2 linked regions of the Alligator mississippiensis genome follow. The protein of the gene in region 1 interacts with the protein of each later gene in a pairwise test. Links are inferred from orthologs where the notes say so. Each region holds a gene or a part of one and is shown on either strand. Other genes may lie near its edges.

Region 1 (7,476 bases):
TCCCAATCTTCTCTCAAGACCTGCAACAGACCTCGTGGCCGGTGCCCTAACACTAGTTCGAATGGCGAGAACTTCATCGAGTCCTGAGGGGTATCCCTTAGGGTAAACAATACTAGCGGGAGGAGGAGATCCCACTTTCGGGGGTCCCCCTGAATGCAGCGCCGCAACACCCATTTTATTGTCCCGTTAAGGCGCTCCACTAGGCCATTAGTCTGGGGGTGGTAGACTGAGGTGCGGAGTTGTTTTATTTGTAACGTTCGGCACACGGCTCTCAAGACTCCAGACATGAAATTCCTCCCCTGGTCTGTTAATATTTCGTGCGGGATCCCCATCCTGGAGATCCATTTTACTAACTCCTCCGCAATGCGCGGGGCGGTCACCGCTCGCAAGGGGATGGCCTCTGGGTATCGGGTGGCATAATCCACCATCACTAATATGTATTGGTGCCCTGAGCTACTACGGGGAAGAGGTCCAATGACATCTAGGGCTATCCACGAGAATGGGGTGTCTATGACGGGCATAGGCTGGAGGGGTGCCCGTGCCGGACGCTCAGTTCTCATCTTCTGGCACTCGGGGCAAGCTGCACACTGGCGGGCCACTTCCTCCCCCATCCCGGGCCAAAAGAACCACCAGCTTATCCTCGCAAGGGTCTTGTCCCATCCAAGATGCCCACCCGTGAGGCTCGCGTGTGCTAATCGCCAGATGGTTTGGTGGAATCGGGTGGGTACCACTAATTGGGAGTGTAAGGCCTCCCTCCACCACTTCCCTTGCACGCGGTAAAGGAGGTGGTTCCTTACCTCGAAGTAGGAAGGCCCTCCTTGCGGCGGTGCTGGGATGTCTTGGGGACCCTGGGCGCACTCCTGCAACTCCCGGATCTCTGGGTCCTCTGTCTGAGCCTCCCGAAACTGTAGACAGCTGGTGAAGTTGTTGAGGTCTAGCTCGCCCGCCTCATCCGCCAATTCCTCATCCTCCTGCATTTCGCCCAGCCAACCTTCGCAGTCTCGGATCTTTCTACGGGCTACCTCAGTGTCCCTTACCCTGTCCAAGACATCGTACACAGGCACCCAGTCTCGCCCTAATAACATCTCACATGCTAATCGCGGTACCACCCCAACTAGGAGTTCTCCTTGATGTTCCATCACCCTGAGGCGAACCCACTGGCGCTCGACTAGTCGGGACTCCCCATGGAGACAAGCTATCCTCACGGGGTGGGCCCCCTGCCGGCCCTGTGGCCCTACCAGATCTGACCTCACCAGTGACTAGGCACACCCTGAATCCAGGGTCGCTTGCACAGGGCGACCCTCCACCCAGGCCTTCATGACTGGGCAACTCCAGGCTGCATTCTCCTCCCCGATCGCATAGCTACAGTCCATTGGTTTGCCCGATTCCGGACCCCTCCGTTTTTCGGTTGAGGCTCTCGACCTGTCGGTAGGGATCCAGCGCTCCACCGCTTGGTTTGGGCATTCTCTAGAAAAATGGCCGTTACGGCCACACCGGAAGCACACGGTTTCCCTGGTAGCCCCCCGACTCAGCGGCTTCCGGCGCTCCGGCTCTTTGGGGCTCCCCGGGAAGTACCCTGGGCTCCGCCTCTCTCGAGGGTAGCTGGCCTCCGAGACCGTGAACGCCTCCGCCAGCTTTAGGGCTTCATTGCAGGTGCGTGGGGTGTGCTGCCGGACCCAACGTTGTGTCCATTCTTCCAGGTCGTTTTGGAACTGTTCGAGCACGATTTGATCTGCCAGGGCTTCTCGGTCCTGTCCGGCTGGGCTCACCCACTTATCTAGCAGGTCCCTCAATAGTTATAATAGCACTCTGGGTCATCTCTCGTCAGACCCCTTTTTGGCCCAGAATAGGTGACGGTAGTGCTCCGGGTTTATTTCCAGCCTGTATAGGATGGCCTGCTTCACTAGCTCGTAGTCCTGGGCATCCTCTCTCGAGAGGGCCCGATAAGCGGCCTGGGCCTTGCCAACGACCAGGGCGCCCAACTGGCTAGCCCAACAGCTCTGATCGAGCCCTGTCATGAGGGCGTGCCGCTCAAAGGCTTCAATGTAAGCTTCCGGGTCGTCATCTTTTGGGCATCTTAAAGGAAGCTAGGCCATGCCGAAACCAATCTTGTTGCCTACCCATCATCTGTTGTTGGGAGTCCAGGATCTGAGCTAGAACCTGTAGGTTCTGCCCCAGGACATCGACGGGGCCTGTAGCCGCGGGTTGCATGTTGGCGTAGGGATCCACGTTGGGGTCCTCCATGTTCCCGGCCAATGCACCACGTTGTGCCCGCCTCCGCTCGACCAGGCGCTCCCGGGCTGCTCTAGCCCGGGTGGCCGTTCTCGCTGGCCACAAGCTCACGAGAGGGCCCCGGGAGGTGCCTCGGGTGGTGACGGGAGGCCCCCTAACCTCGCCTGCCACGACTTTGAATGTAATCTCAGTGGTGGGGGTCTCCATTAATGCTGCCTCCTGGGGTCGTTGCGCCTTCGGCAGGCACTCACGGGACTCCGACCTCCCCTACACCCCGGCCAATCGCCACCTGCTGCTGCTGGTCTTCTAGTGGCCTTCCTCAGGGGGCCCCGGCGTGTTTCCGGTCCTGTGCCTCCCGGTGGTCCCCACTCCAGAGAACCAAGCTTCCCAGGCTGGAGTCCGCCTTGAGGGTTTCACACCCCCTGATTCCCTGCTGCCCCTAGCCTATACTGACCCGAGGCCACTGCAACACAAAATGAGAGGAGAGCCTAAAGGAAAGCGAACAACAAAACAGAAAGTCGAGCCCTTCTATCACGCCTAGCCCGGAATCTGACCTGGGTGCCTAAGCCCCGATCGACAGGCTGCCCTGGCTCAGAGTCCGTTGGGTGGCTTAAGGCCACCGACTCCCCCGGGAGTCTACTCTCCAGGACTGTGGCTCCAGCTCTCTGGGAGCCTCGTATCCGGCGTTCACTCCCTTGCCGGTCCCACTGCCGGTTCCTCCGCCGGCCCATCTGTCAGCTCTCTCGCCGAGTCCGCTGCTGGTTTCCTCACCGGCTACGCTGCCCGCTCCTTTACCGGATCCTTAGCTGGTTCCTTCTCTAGTCTTGCTGCCAACGTCGTCTCCACCTTCTCCGTCGGCTCCTTTAAGAACACAGCTCTCTCTGCTGTAGCTGCAGCTTTCTTCGCCGGCCCCTTTAACGGTGCGGCTCTCGCTGCTGCAGCTGCCGTTGCCGACGTCGCTGCCGTTGCCACGACTTCCCCCGTTGGGCTGGGTACATGGGCCCCGCGGGCGCGGGTCCCGCTCTTGGGGTTCCCTGTGGGCTTTCCCCACTTCCCTTCTGGCCCCGCTTCCAGGGCCGCCTTTTATCTCTGCCGGGCAGCGTCTCCCGCCGGCGTTGCCCGGCCCCAGCTGTATATAAGTGCGGCTTACAAACTGCGCTGGCAGTCTCGTCGCGCACGTGTCCCTGCCTGTCCCGGCCTCTGCGTGGGGTAAGTAAATGGTTACTTCCCCCCTGGTTCGGCCCCGGGGTACCCTTCTAACCCCAGCGTCCCTGGGACACAGTGCATTTAATTATGGTGCCCATGGGTGTCTTTACATATGATCCAACATCACGTGTATTCAGTGTCCCTCACTTCAAAATGGTGTCAGGGGCACTTTAGCTAAAGTTGTTTGACAAGTTTTAGTTAAAGCACCCCTGCTGCCATTTTGAAGCATGGGGATGCTAAATACATGTGACGCAAAGGCTACTGGAGACACTCCAGCAGACTTGATTAATCGAGTCTGTTCCATGTGCTAATTAGCACGCATTGAAGCAGGCGTCCAGTACATCTGTAGGTGCCCCACGACTCTAAGAAAGGGGTTTAAGTAGCTAGTAACACAAAGGACGATCAAGTTGAAGTATACGATAGAGGTCCATTTTTCTTTATTTTACATATTTAATTTACAAAATGAGTATCCTGCATCATCTTATCCACAATGTAAGATGTTCATAATTTGGCACATTAATTGCACACTGAGAATCTGAGTAAAGTGTACTAGATGTTGTACCTGCATTTTCCTGTAATGCAATATCTTTTAGGAGTTTTCAATGAAAAATTATTTTGCATATTTTTATCTCCTCAAGATGATTTTGTGAGGTCAAAAGATTTATTGTCTCTCAGTGATGTGCAGATTAAATTTCCTCAATTTAAAAGTATTGTAATTTTCCCCTGATTGCCAGTTCTTCATAAGTCTTTCTGGCTCTTACATAACCAACATTTTGCAATTTTAACTGAGTTACAATTCTGTTTATGGTATGTTACCTGAAATAGAATACAAGAGATTATTCCAGAGCCTCTTTAACTCTGCAAGACTGCCAAGAGTAAAAAGTAATAAAAAATATTTTACCTAGTAAAGTTGCATGTCTGAACCTGAATATACACAGAAGCAACTTTATTTAAAAAGAAGGGGCCATATTTGCAGCTAATTTTCAGCATGCAAGGGCACTTAAAACACTGTATTCTGCTTTTCAGAGGCCTATATAACTCTGTGCTGTTGATGAGGCGTGGTCCTATTTGTCCTTTCTGTTGACAGCATGCAAGACGACAGTTTAGAAACTTCTACTTCAATATCTCAACTTCTGAGAGAGAGTTATTTAGCTGACACTAAACATCAAGGGAACAGTGAAAGAAGTAGATCAGAACCATCTCCACACACTATCCATTATGGCAATACTTCTGGGAATTCAGATGAGGTAACTGCCCAAGATGACCTTCCAGATCTCTCTGCCTTTCTGAGCCAAGAAGAGTTAGATGAAAGTGTAAATCTGGCAAGACAAGCAATTGATCAGAATCCACCTGAAAGTAAGCAGGATGAACAACTGACATATTATCCCTCTGATCAGCTGAAAAACTCTGTGAGAAAAGTTTCAAATAAACAAGTGGCCCAGTCTACAGCTTTGCCAACTTCAGACAATGCTCTGCACTCAAACTTCTGTCATGATCATGTCAGTGGTTCCAAGAAGAGCTCTCAGGATCTAAAGAAACAACAGCTTCCTTCTGAAGCTGAATCAAAGAAAGAATTCCTAAATAAGGCAGCAGATTTTATTGAAGAGCTTTCCTCACTTTTCAAAGCACATAATTCAGAAAGAATAAGACCTAGAACATGCAAAAACTACAGGAGCAAACTTGATTCTAAAAACAAGGATGCTCAAAAAGGTAGCTCTAGTTTCCCAACTCTATCAGAAAACAGAGAGAGACTTTCTATTCCAACACCTGAAGACTCTGACAATAACTCAGAGCATGCACTTGAAAAAACAGATGATCAACAAGAGGCAAACTCTGAAGCTATGAATCAATTGGCAAACACGGAGTCAGCACCTACATCCTTCTATTCTGATGAGCCTATTGGACAACCACCACGCTTTACTCAGAAACTGAAGAGCAGGGAAGTTCCTGAAGGAACCAAAGTGCAATTGGACTGCATTGTAGTAGGAATTCCAGCACCTGAAGTCAGGTAAACATATTCGACTCTTGCCATTTTGCATTATGATAATGGTAGGTATATGCTCCACCGTGCTAAAATATATTTTATGGTAATTTATAGAAGCAATTCTTGGTTTTTGGTTATTACCATTGACTAGAAATAAATCCAGCTGTCTTCTTTAAACTATCCAGAAAGTTATTGCCATTTTAATTTAAGACATTTAAGGACAATTTTTCCTTTAAATTTTAGAGCACAGTTGTTAAAGAGGCAAGTCTTCTGCAATTAAATCGCTGAGAAAGGTATTTTCAGCTTGTTCACTATGAAGATTTGCTCAGTTTCCATAAAAGAAATAATCTATGTTAATGATGATGAGTAAGAAGTAAGAAAACATTTAAATTGAAAATGTACAGGATTGCATAAGCAAGAGACTTTTTAAAATTACAAAATACGTATATCAATAAGAGATTAAAAATCCCCGCAGAGCCAGAAACACCTCAATACCAATCCAGATTCTGGCAATGATTCCTCACACTTAACTTTAGTTTCTCCATCTATAAATGTTTCAGTTAGTCACTGTTTCCACCTGCAGCTGGGGAGATATTGATGACTAAATAGGAAGTGATTGTAAAGATTTTTGGAAATTAAATATAGGTCGGGTGGGAAACGGATTATTAAAATTGTCACTTTTATCCTGGAATTCTCAGTCTTCACTGGTATTTCTAAACCTAAAACTGTTAAAATATAGATTATAGGGCATTTTTTTCTTTCAGTTATGTTGGTGTAACCATATAGACTTTGATGAGGTTGTGTCAGTGTAAATACAAGGAGAATTTGATTTGTCTTCTAAGGAAATGCTATTTACTTAATTTTCTTATTAATAACTTTAGTATTTTAAAAAAGTAGGTTAGTTGCCTACAGTTTTCTTAGATAAATCTTAGTTGCCTTCTAAAATATATTGAAGGGCCTTTCTTGTGCCTTCAGAGTTATCATTCAACACTAGGTTTATAGCTTCCCTAGTAAGTGTCATCTTCATCAAATGAAAGGCATTCAGAGATTTCTGGGGTAAAGAATTTGTCTTCTGTGCTCTCAGTCTCACTCCCCAGTGGTTGCTATCTCTCAGAAAGAAGGAGTCCTGGCAGTATGATCCTCTGTTAAGAGGAATGGAGTGAAGAGCTACAATTCCTTTTGTTTTGGCCAGTCTTCAACTATGGAAAATCCTTCTAAAGAGGACAAAAAGAATTTCCTCCATTTATGAGAAGCCATTCTAAATGGAGATTGTCAGGCCATTTTTGTCCCCATTGAGCCTATGCTCTCAATCCCCCAAGCTAGACCATGATTTATAGTATCACAGTGAATCTTTTGCCAGATTTGTCAGTGACAGGAATGTGAATTTCCTCCAAAGGATCTGTTAGCTGTCAATAGAAGAGGCATGGTGTTCCTAAGCTGAAACTGAAGGAAAGCATCTTACTTGGGGGCAATAACCTTCCAGCATGTTTGTTTCTTACTCAAACTCTCTGGTCTAATTAAGAGTTTGGGGGAGGGGAGTCTTTTCTTTTCTTCATAATCTGGTTGTTGCATTTATGTCATCCAAAATGCTAAACTGAGTTCAGACCTCTGTCTGGTAGAAGAGAAACCTGCTAGAAAGGAGAATAATAAAAGGAAAGAGATTTTCCTGAAAACAGTAGAATGGCTATACTTCCAGCCCGTATATATTCGTTTCCTGTTCTGAAGAAGTCTCTAGCTTCTAAAAAAAGGAGTTTTTGCCTAGACATTAGAAGCCATTTTTCCCTCTTGGATGCAAACTACCATCTTGAACTGGAATACCTACATTTAGTTTGAGAATGTTTTTCTATTCTAATAGAGTTATTCTGAGTTAAGTTACACTGGTGTAAGTTTAAATAACACCACTGCCTTCAAAAGAAGTGGCTATTGCACACATAAATGTTGTTAAACTGGGCTCTTTTTCTGATTCCTAAGACTGTATTAAGTTAGTAGTAAAAAGAGTAGAAATGACTATAGAAAGATCATTGCAAAGTGTTTCCATTGTAAATGCATAGTAG
Region 2 (7,371 bases), about 14 Mb from region 1:
GCATTCCCCTCCTCACCCCCATCCCTTTTATGTTTCAGAGTGTCCGACCAAGGGACTATTTCCCGTATGGCTTTGTCATCTTTTTGGGTTCGTGATTCTTAACATTTACTAATAAAATTCAATCACTTTTCAACAAATAAGTTTTCATACTAATCTATACTAAATTAGGAGTTGTAGAAAGACACAGAGAGTCATGGAAATGGCCTTGTAGAAGGCACATGGCTAGGGCTGTGCAAAACGGCACCATTCCATTTCACCTTGAGTTTTGATAGAACAGTATTCCATTTTGAATTTCATTTAGAGTCAAAACAGTTGTTTCATTCCATCAAAACAGAAAGGCTGTTTTGACATTTTGCTGGGGATGGGAAGTCAGCTGGGCTGACTTCCCATTCCCCGTGCTAGATCGTGCCGGGGGGTCGGAGGCAGCCCAGCTGGGCTGACTTCCCATCCCCAGTACTAGATCGCACCACAGGGTGGAAGGAACCTGGGCTGCCTTCCGGCCCCGGTGCAATCTAGTGTTGGGAATGAGAAAGCAGCCCAGCTGGGCTGCCTTCTTCCCCCTGCCCTGGTGCGATCTAGTGGCGCGGATGGGAAAGCAGCCCAGCTGAGCTGTCTTCCACCCCCAGTGCGATCTAGCACCAGGGATGGGGATCTAGTGCCCCCTGCCAGATCTTGCACTGGGGATGGGAAGTCAGCCCAGCTGGACTGACTTCCCATCCCCAGGCTATGGTCAAGATGTTTTGACTTAGCCTTGTTTTGTTTTGAGGCTATTTTGACAGTCTTTGTTTCATTCTGATTTTGCTGTTTTGACCTTGAAATTGGTCAAAACAGTGTCAAAACGAAATGGTCGGTGATATTTCACACAGCCACCATCTTTGAAAACAAGAGCCAAGAGCACAGGTTCTCAGTATAAATATAGCTTCAATATGATGACTGCATTGAAAACATGATAATATGCTTCATGCAACATGGAAATATCTTGTATATAATGTATAAACTTTTTTTTTCATTCTGCTAGAAACTATTTAATAGTTATTTAAAAATAAATCCTTACAACAGCCAAATATCTTCTCAAGGAGTAGCAAGGAATGTAACTACTACTTATTTCTACATCCTGTTGATTTTACTGCCCTTCATGCTTTTTGTTACAATCTTGGCTGTATTCAACTGACTCGCACATTGCAAACCTTTGCTCTGCCCATAGCAGTTTGACCTGTGCTCTCCAGAATTCCATTACACATGCCTATCACTGACCACCTGCTATTATTAACTTAAAGTAGATATGGGAAATCAGTGGTTGAAAGATGATTAAGTAACTGTAGTGCACCACTAGCTAATGGATAATTGTGCTACTTCCCCTAAAATTGGAAGATGGGGATTGTGCTAAGGACCTTGGCTCAAGTCTCAGCTAATATAAAACAATGTAACTTTTCTGATGCCAAGGGAACAACACAGACAAAATTATAGTTTCAATCATTAAACACCAACTGAATTCAGATTTTACACTCAGCCAGCCTTTGTTTAAATCTGTCATCCATTACTGCTATTCAGGCATCTTAAACATTACAAATATTTATTTTTCTCTATTCCCTCTAGTCATCAGGAGCTGGGCTTCTTAAAAAAATACTGACTGTGTTCATTTTCTGTGATGGTACCATAGGAAGTCTGAGTCAAAGTAGTAGGTTTTTCTCTACAGACTGATGGACAAACTCATTTGAGTTCCAGATCAGTGAACCAGTTTCAGGGAAGGCTCCATCTCCCTTGTCCTTCTAATTTAGGACTTTGCTTGCAGAGTTTCATATATCAAGCCCCTTTTAAAGAAATTAAATGTAAAGAAAAACCATGCTTCAAATGTAACAAGATGAGACAAGTTACAGTTTCTTAAGCTATTTTTTAACCATTCTGTCAACATGCCTAACATTTTCCTTCCCATGTCATTCTTCTACCAGCTTCTGCTGACTATGAGGAGGTGCATGTAACTGCAGATGTTAAAAGCTCAAAAGATTATTTCTCTAGTAAAATGTGGTCCACATTGTGAGAGTTTAAGAGTTCCTGGGCACATCTACATGTGCTATTCATGCATTTTAGGCTTACTGCACAGTAAGCCTTCCCAGGGAGCACATCTACATATGCACCCCGTTGTTCCCACTCTGCTCTGCCCCAGTGCAGTAGCCAGGGAAAGCTCTAGACTCCCCCAGATGCTAGTCTGGGGGCTGGCAAGGGACACAGGGGCCAGGGTGGGTGATGATGTGCATGGGGCTGGGAAGACAGCACCGTTGCAGCCAGCAGAGCTCTCCTGTCCCTGTGCACATCAGGACATACTGCTGCCAGCAATGCCCCCTCTCAGGCTGGGTTTCCCTGCCTGGGAGGGGGTTTACTGGGAGCTGTCCCAGGTGTGGGGCAACTGCTAGTGAGCCTCCTGCTAGGCAGGCCCCTCCACTCAGCATGGGGCTGGCCAGGAACTGTTCTGCAAGTGGGGCAGCTGCCAGTGAGCCTTGTGCAGTTCCTGAACAGCTTCCTGCCAAATCGGGGGGGGGGGGGGCACAGGGCTGACCAGCAGCTCCCTTGCTTAGGTTCCCAGTCCCTGCCTGCCCCCAGAGCAGCTTTGCACCACACAGAGCTGAGAACTCCAGAGAGTGAGCGGGGGCTAGAGTTCCTACCTCCACACCATGCAGAACTATGCCAGAGAGTGAGCAGGGCTGGGTTCCCAGCTCCCACTCACTCTCCAGAGCTCTCAGCTTTAGGCTGGGAGCTGGGATTGGGGAAGAGGGGAGAGAGAAGAGAGTTCCCTAGTTCTAGCACTGATCAGCTCCAGGCAGGAGCTGTGCAGCACCAGGACTGGAGACAGAGAGCTCATCCTCTGTGGCCCTCTGGTGCCTAGTTTGACCAGGAGCAAATTTGCTCTTGGTCAGAGTCTACAAGTGCAGTACTGCACAGTTAATTTAGTACCTGTATTTACAGGTACTAACTGTGTAGACTGTGGTGCTTTACTGCACAGATTAATCTACTTTGTAGCAAAATGTCTCATGTAGATGCACCCCATGTTATGTCAGTTACAAACAAGGCAAAGCCAAGCCAAGCTGGCTCCTGTTCTAGTAAACATAGAGCAGGAATACAAATGTATTTTGGAAGCAGATAATAATGCCATGTAGAAAATAACTCTTTTGGAATAACATATGGAGGTATTAGTATTTGGGAAAAGAATTTTAGAAAGGCTGTCCCACATACTCTGTTTTAGCTCTGGGGTTTACCTTCCAATGTCACAAATATTCTAATCAGTAAAGGAAGCACCTGATGTTCAGCTTTGTTTCAGCAAAAGGGAGAGCACAGGGTAGGTATAATGGTGCCTAGCAGATACATTTGAACATACTCGAATTACTAGTGGATAGTTTAGGAGAGGATGGGCACCTTGAAAGGTCAGCATCACAGACACCAATTTACATAAGTAGAGGAGCTTGCCCACATATGGTTTTTCATGGTCAGTAGAAGTTCCTTCTGTCTGCAAGTTCCTCTTTATTTAATATGTATCAGCCTTAATCCATTTGCTGACTAGGTTCTCTCTCTTCTCAAAGTCCCTCAGGCTCAAAAGGAAAATATTGCCTCTGAAAGCAGCAGTGATTTTACTTTTTCAGAAAGTAACTGGATATAATTTACTACTCTGTTTATGACTGGTGACGATTTCCAGGAAAAATGCAAAGCTAGCTGTTTTGAGATCTTATACTGATTGTAACTTATCAGGTCATAGGCCTTTTTAGCACTAGAGACATCATTCTGGTTTAGTAATCCCTTCAGAGAATTCCTTCCAACAAATATAGAAGAGTGCCATCATGATGAGAGAAAGCTTTTCCTCTAAACTGTTTACCATCCAAAAATAGATGGCAATGAAAAGAATGCCTTCCCAAAACTTAAGGGGTCATCCACTTATCAGAAAGACATTACCACAAGTACTCTAAATGGGTCACTTACCCTTTCCGGTGTCTCATAGTCATTTGAAAGTCAGTAAAAAAAAGATATAATGCAATATCAACAGACAGCTGTCCTAGTGGGCACTGGGAAGTTAGAATGACTAGCATTTCTGAGCTATGGTGTCACTGACAAAGGAATGATGATCTCACATTTCATACCAATTCACATATTCAGTGCGGTTAGACAGTGAGACTCAACCTAGCTCCCAACTGATGTCCCCCCTTCTCTCTTGACACTAGATCTGGCTAGTTAACACGCCTGGAATGAAAATGAACCTACCTCTGAGCTGGCAAATCCAAGGGGCATATCTGGTTTCCCAGGTTGGAAGATTATCTCACCCAAGCTAAGTTCCCCAAAGATATATAAGCTAAGATAGGCTGGTGGTCTCAGCAGAGCTGACTTGAGCACTGGGTGTCTTATCCATAAAGGAGTACAACTAACAACAACCAGCAAACATGATGATGCTGAAAGTGGAGGATCTGGTAGGTAAAAGCTGCCTTTGCTCCCTCTCAATTACTGTTATTTCACGATTTTTATTGTAATTAGTCAATAACAGTGTCTTTGTTCATTATTATTACAGGCATCTGTAGAGTGATTGTCACTGCTGAATCATACTATGCTGAAAAGAGCTTGCTTTAAATTGTCCTTGGGGTTTGGGTTTTCCATTAATCTAATGAAACGGTTGACTATATTTTGGATTGGCATACAATGAACCAGGCAATTAGGTGTATACCTTTGATTTACTTGCTTTATTTGCTCAGATGCTGTATTTGTTTACAATTATGCACATGTGTTAACACCCAGTAAAAGATGTATGTAGATGTAGGTATGCAAGATTATCTTAACTTTTAAACCAAAATTAAAAGTTGCTATCTGTTCCTATACAAACTGTTTTCCATGGCCTAATTGACTTCCTGAAAATTAATATCTTAGGCAACAGATAGCTTGAATATTCTTCTTAGTGTTCATCTTAGTCAAATTGGATTGGATCAATAAACTAAGCAAATGTGACAAACTCAAAAGAACACTGGAATGTTGTTTGGAAATTTTTCTTCCTCCCAGAAGAATATGTTAGGATGAAAATGCCATACAGCATAACCAGTTAATGCTAGTTTTAAATTCTTTGGCAAGACCCTTCTGATTTCTACAGTGCTAAATTCTCCACCGCCAAAGTTGTACAACAGCATTTGATATCAAAAACATTCTGGATTGTATAATTTCTGTGAAATATATCCCCAAATGCACTGTGCCTTCACATAACTTTAACATACTCTCTTAATGGAGGTATGTAATCAACCGCAGGAAACATTTTTAGAAACTATGCCTACGCCTTGTGGCATTAGATCATTAGCTAAGGCAGCGTAGCCAACCTGTGGCATCGATGCCACAAGTGGCATGGACAAGCAGATGGGGGAGAAGACAGGCAGCAGAGCAGGAGATAGGGCAGGAAGCAGAAGCAAACCAGAAAATTGGGCAGGGAGCATAAAGCAGAGCAGTAGTTTGGGCAAAGGAAGGGCACCGGAGTGGCACCTGGAGAAGTTTCAGGGCTCATTTGTGCATGCCTGCCAAAAAGGTTGGTTCCCATTAATTTATTTGGGTTACAAAAAGCTACTTCATTCACAGGCAATATGGAACAACTTTTTACTGAGAGGGAGATACCCAAGGTGGGCGAGGGGTACCAAGTCTTTCTACCTTTTACTCCAATGAGTTTATGGAGAGTAGTACACAAGATAAATTAAAAAGGTAAGGTAGAGAAATAAACAGCAAAAAACAAACAAACAAAAGATCAAAAACCCAAACCCTGATTCCAGTTTTATAATGAGACTTATTCTGATATTGTTATTATAGTAGCAAGCAGAACCTAGCCAGAAAGACAATTTATGGCATGCTCTCTTATAGTAGGCCTGATCCACTCAGTGAGAGCTTCTCCATTGACTTCCGAAGTGTTGGGTCAACTTGTGAGTTAGTCCTTTATGACAACTGTCGTAACAGTTTAATTTGGCTTCAGAGTTTGTGAAAGTGTTGGGTCCCCAAGTGCCACATACACTCTTATGTGGGGACAGACAGACCACTTTCAAACAATAAGATGTTCATGTTTTTGCAGTTGGTGGATACTTATGATTCTGTACTGTAGGTTGCATAATATTTCATTCTCTTTTGCAGGTGACGGGGAAGAAGAGTAACAGCAATGAGACTGGAGGTTTCCTACCAGAAGACTTCAAACATGGAGAGTATGAAGCTACTGTGAGATTAGAGAAACAAGAGGATCTCAAGACACTCCCTGAAAACTTACTGGCCCAAAGAGATCTTACCTACAAAAAGGAGAAAAAGCTAGAGGCAGAGGTAGGCTCTTTGGTTTTGTGCTCATTTTTTATCATTATGTGGCAGCTGTACCTGTGAAGCCCTAAAAACTGTCCATGTCTTTTGTTCTGTTCTAACCAATGTATCTTTAATGGTGAGTCTAAAAAATAAAACCTTGACAAACCTCCACCCAGGGAGAACAGAGTACCTGACACTGAGTCCACTTAACCAACAGAAATCATCTCATTGACTTAAAACAGGCTTTCAATCATGTTGCGCTGAAAACAGCATTAGATGCTGCTTCATTTTTCACTTCTAATTAAAGAACCAGAAATTTCTTATCTTCCTGTGGCTAGCTGTACAGTAAGCAAAGGCCTGGCATATCCAATTTGTAAACTTAATAATCATCGCTGGCATCAACCAAACAAATAGCAATTGCAGTTTGGATCTCTCACCATTCCCCAGCATAGATTTAAGAGCATAGTTCTTTCCTGAGGTCCTTTTACCAACCCCAGCCCCCACAGCATGCTTTCTATCACACCATGCAGAAGTAGTAGCCATTAAAATGACTCCTGTCAAAACAAAATGAACAAGTACCTTTTTTGGGATATAGCAGCTTTTCATTCCCCCCCCGTTTGTTTACTTCCTGTTTCACAAAGCACTACAACAGGTCTCCCATTCATCAATGTAAATTAGCAACCTGCCACACTCAACACTTACAGCAGTTCAATTACATTAGAAAAATCCTACTTATTGAGAAAGAATCAGCAGTTTAAACAAAATAGTAGAAACAAGGCTTTTATTTACAAAGGAGGGGTATGTATATGAATATAAAAATATTCATAAGCCCAGAAATTACCCAATTTAACTAAGAGATTATCACTAACCAGAGAATTAATATTTTCAAACTCACTTATTGATGGAGTATTCACAAACATAATTATCAAACAGTTCTTGGGAATTTGATGCCTGACCCATGGCCTACTGAAAGTAGTAGGAAACTTTCCATTGACTGAAGTAGCCCACAAATCTACATTTTTAGTTAGTTAACAGAATGTAATACTGTTGAGTCAAACTAAAACTGGCATGAATCAGGCTAATTTA

The links.
Region 2: the proteins of MYPN (region 1) and ANKRD1 interact in a two-hybrid assay, tested with the Homo sapiens proteins (2 studies listed by BioGRID). The link is inferred for Alligator mississippiensis from reciprocal best matches to the Homo sapiens genes MYPN and ANKRD1.

The regions. Positions count from the first base shown.
Region 1 is NC_081829.1:54,651,595-54,659,070, forward strand, and holds the start of MYPN (myopalladin), read left to right. Parts: upstream 1-4,471; 5' UTR 4,472-4,526; coding exon 4,527-5,446; intron 5,447-7,476. UniProt on the Homo sapiens protein: Component of the sarcomere that tethers together nebulin (skeletal muscle) and nebulette (cardiac muscle) to alpha-actinin, at the Z lines.
Region 2 is NC_081829.1:68,335,659-68,343,029, reverse strand, and holds the start of ANKRD1 (ankyrin repeat domain-containing protein 1), read left to right. Parts: upstream 1-4,363; 5' UTR 4,364-4,421; coding exon 4,422-4,448; intron 4,449-6,129; coding exon 6,130-6,309; intron 6,310-7,371. UniProt on the Homo sapiens protein: May play an important role in endothelial cell activation. May act as a nuclear transcription factor that negatively regulates the expression of cardiac genes. Induction seems to be correlated with apoptotic cell death in hepatoma cells.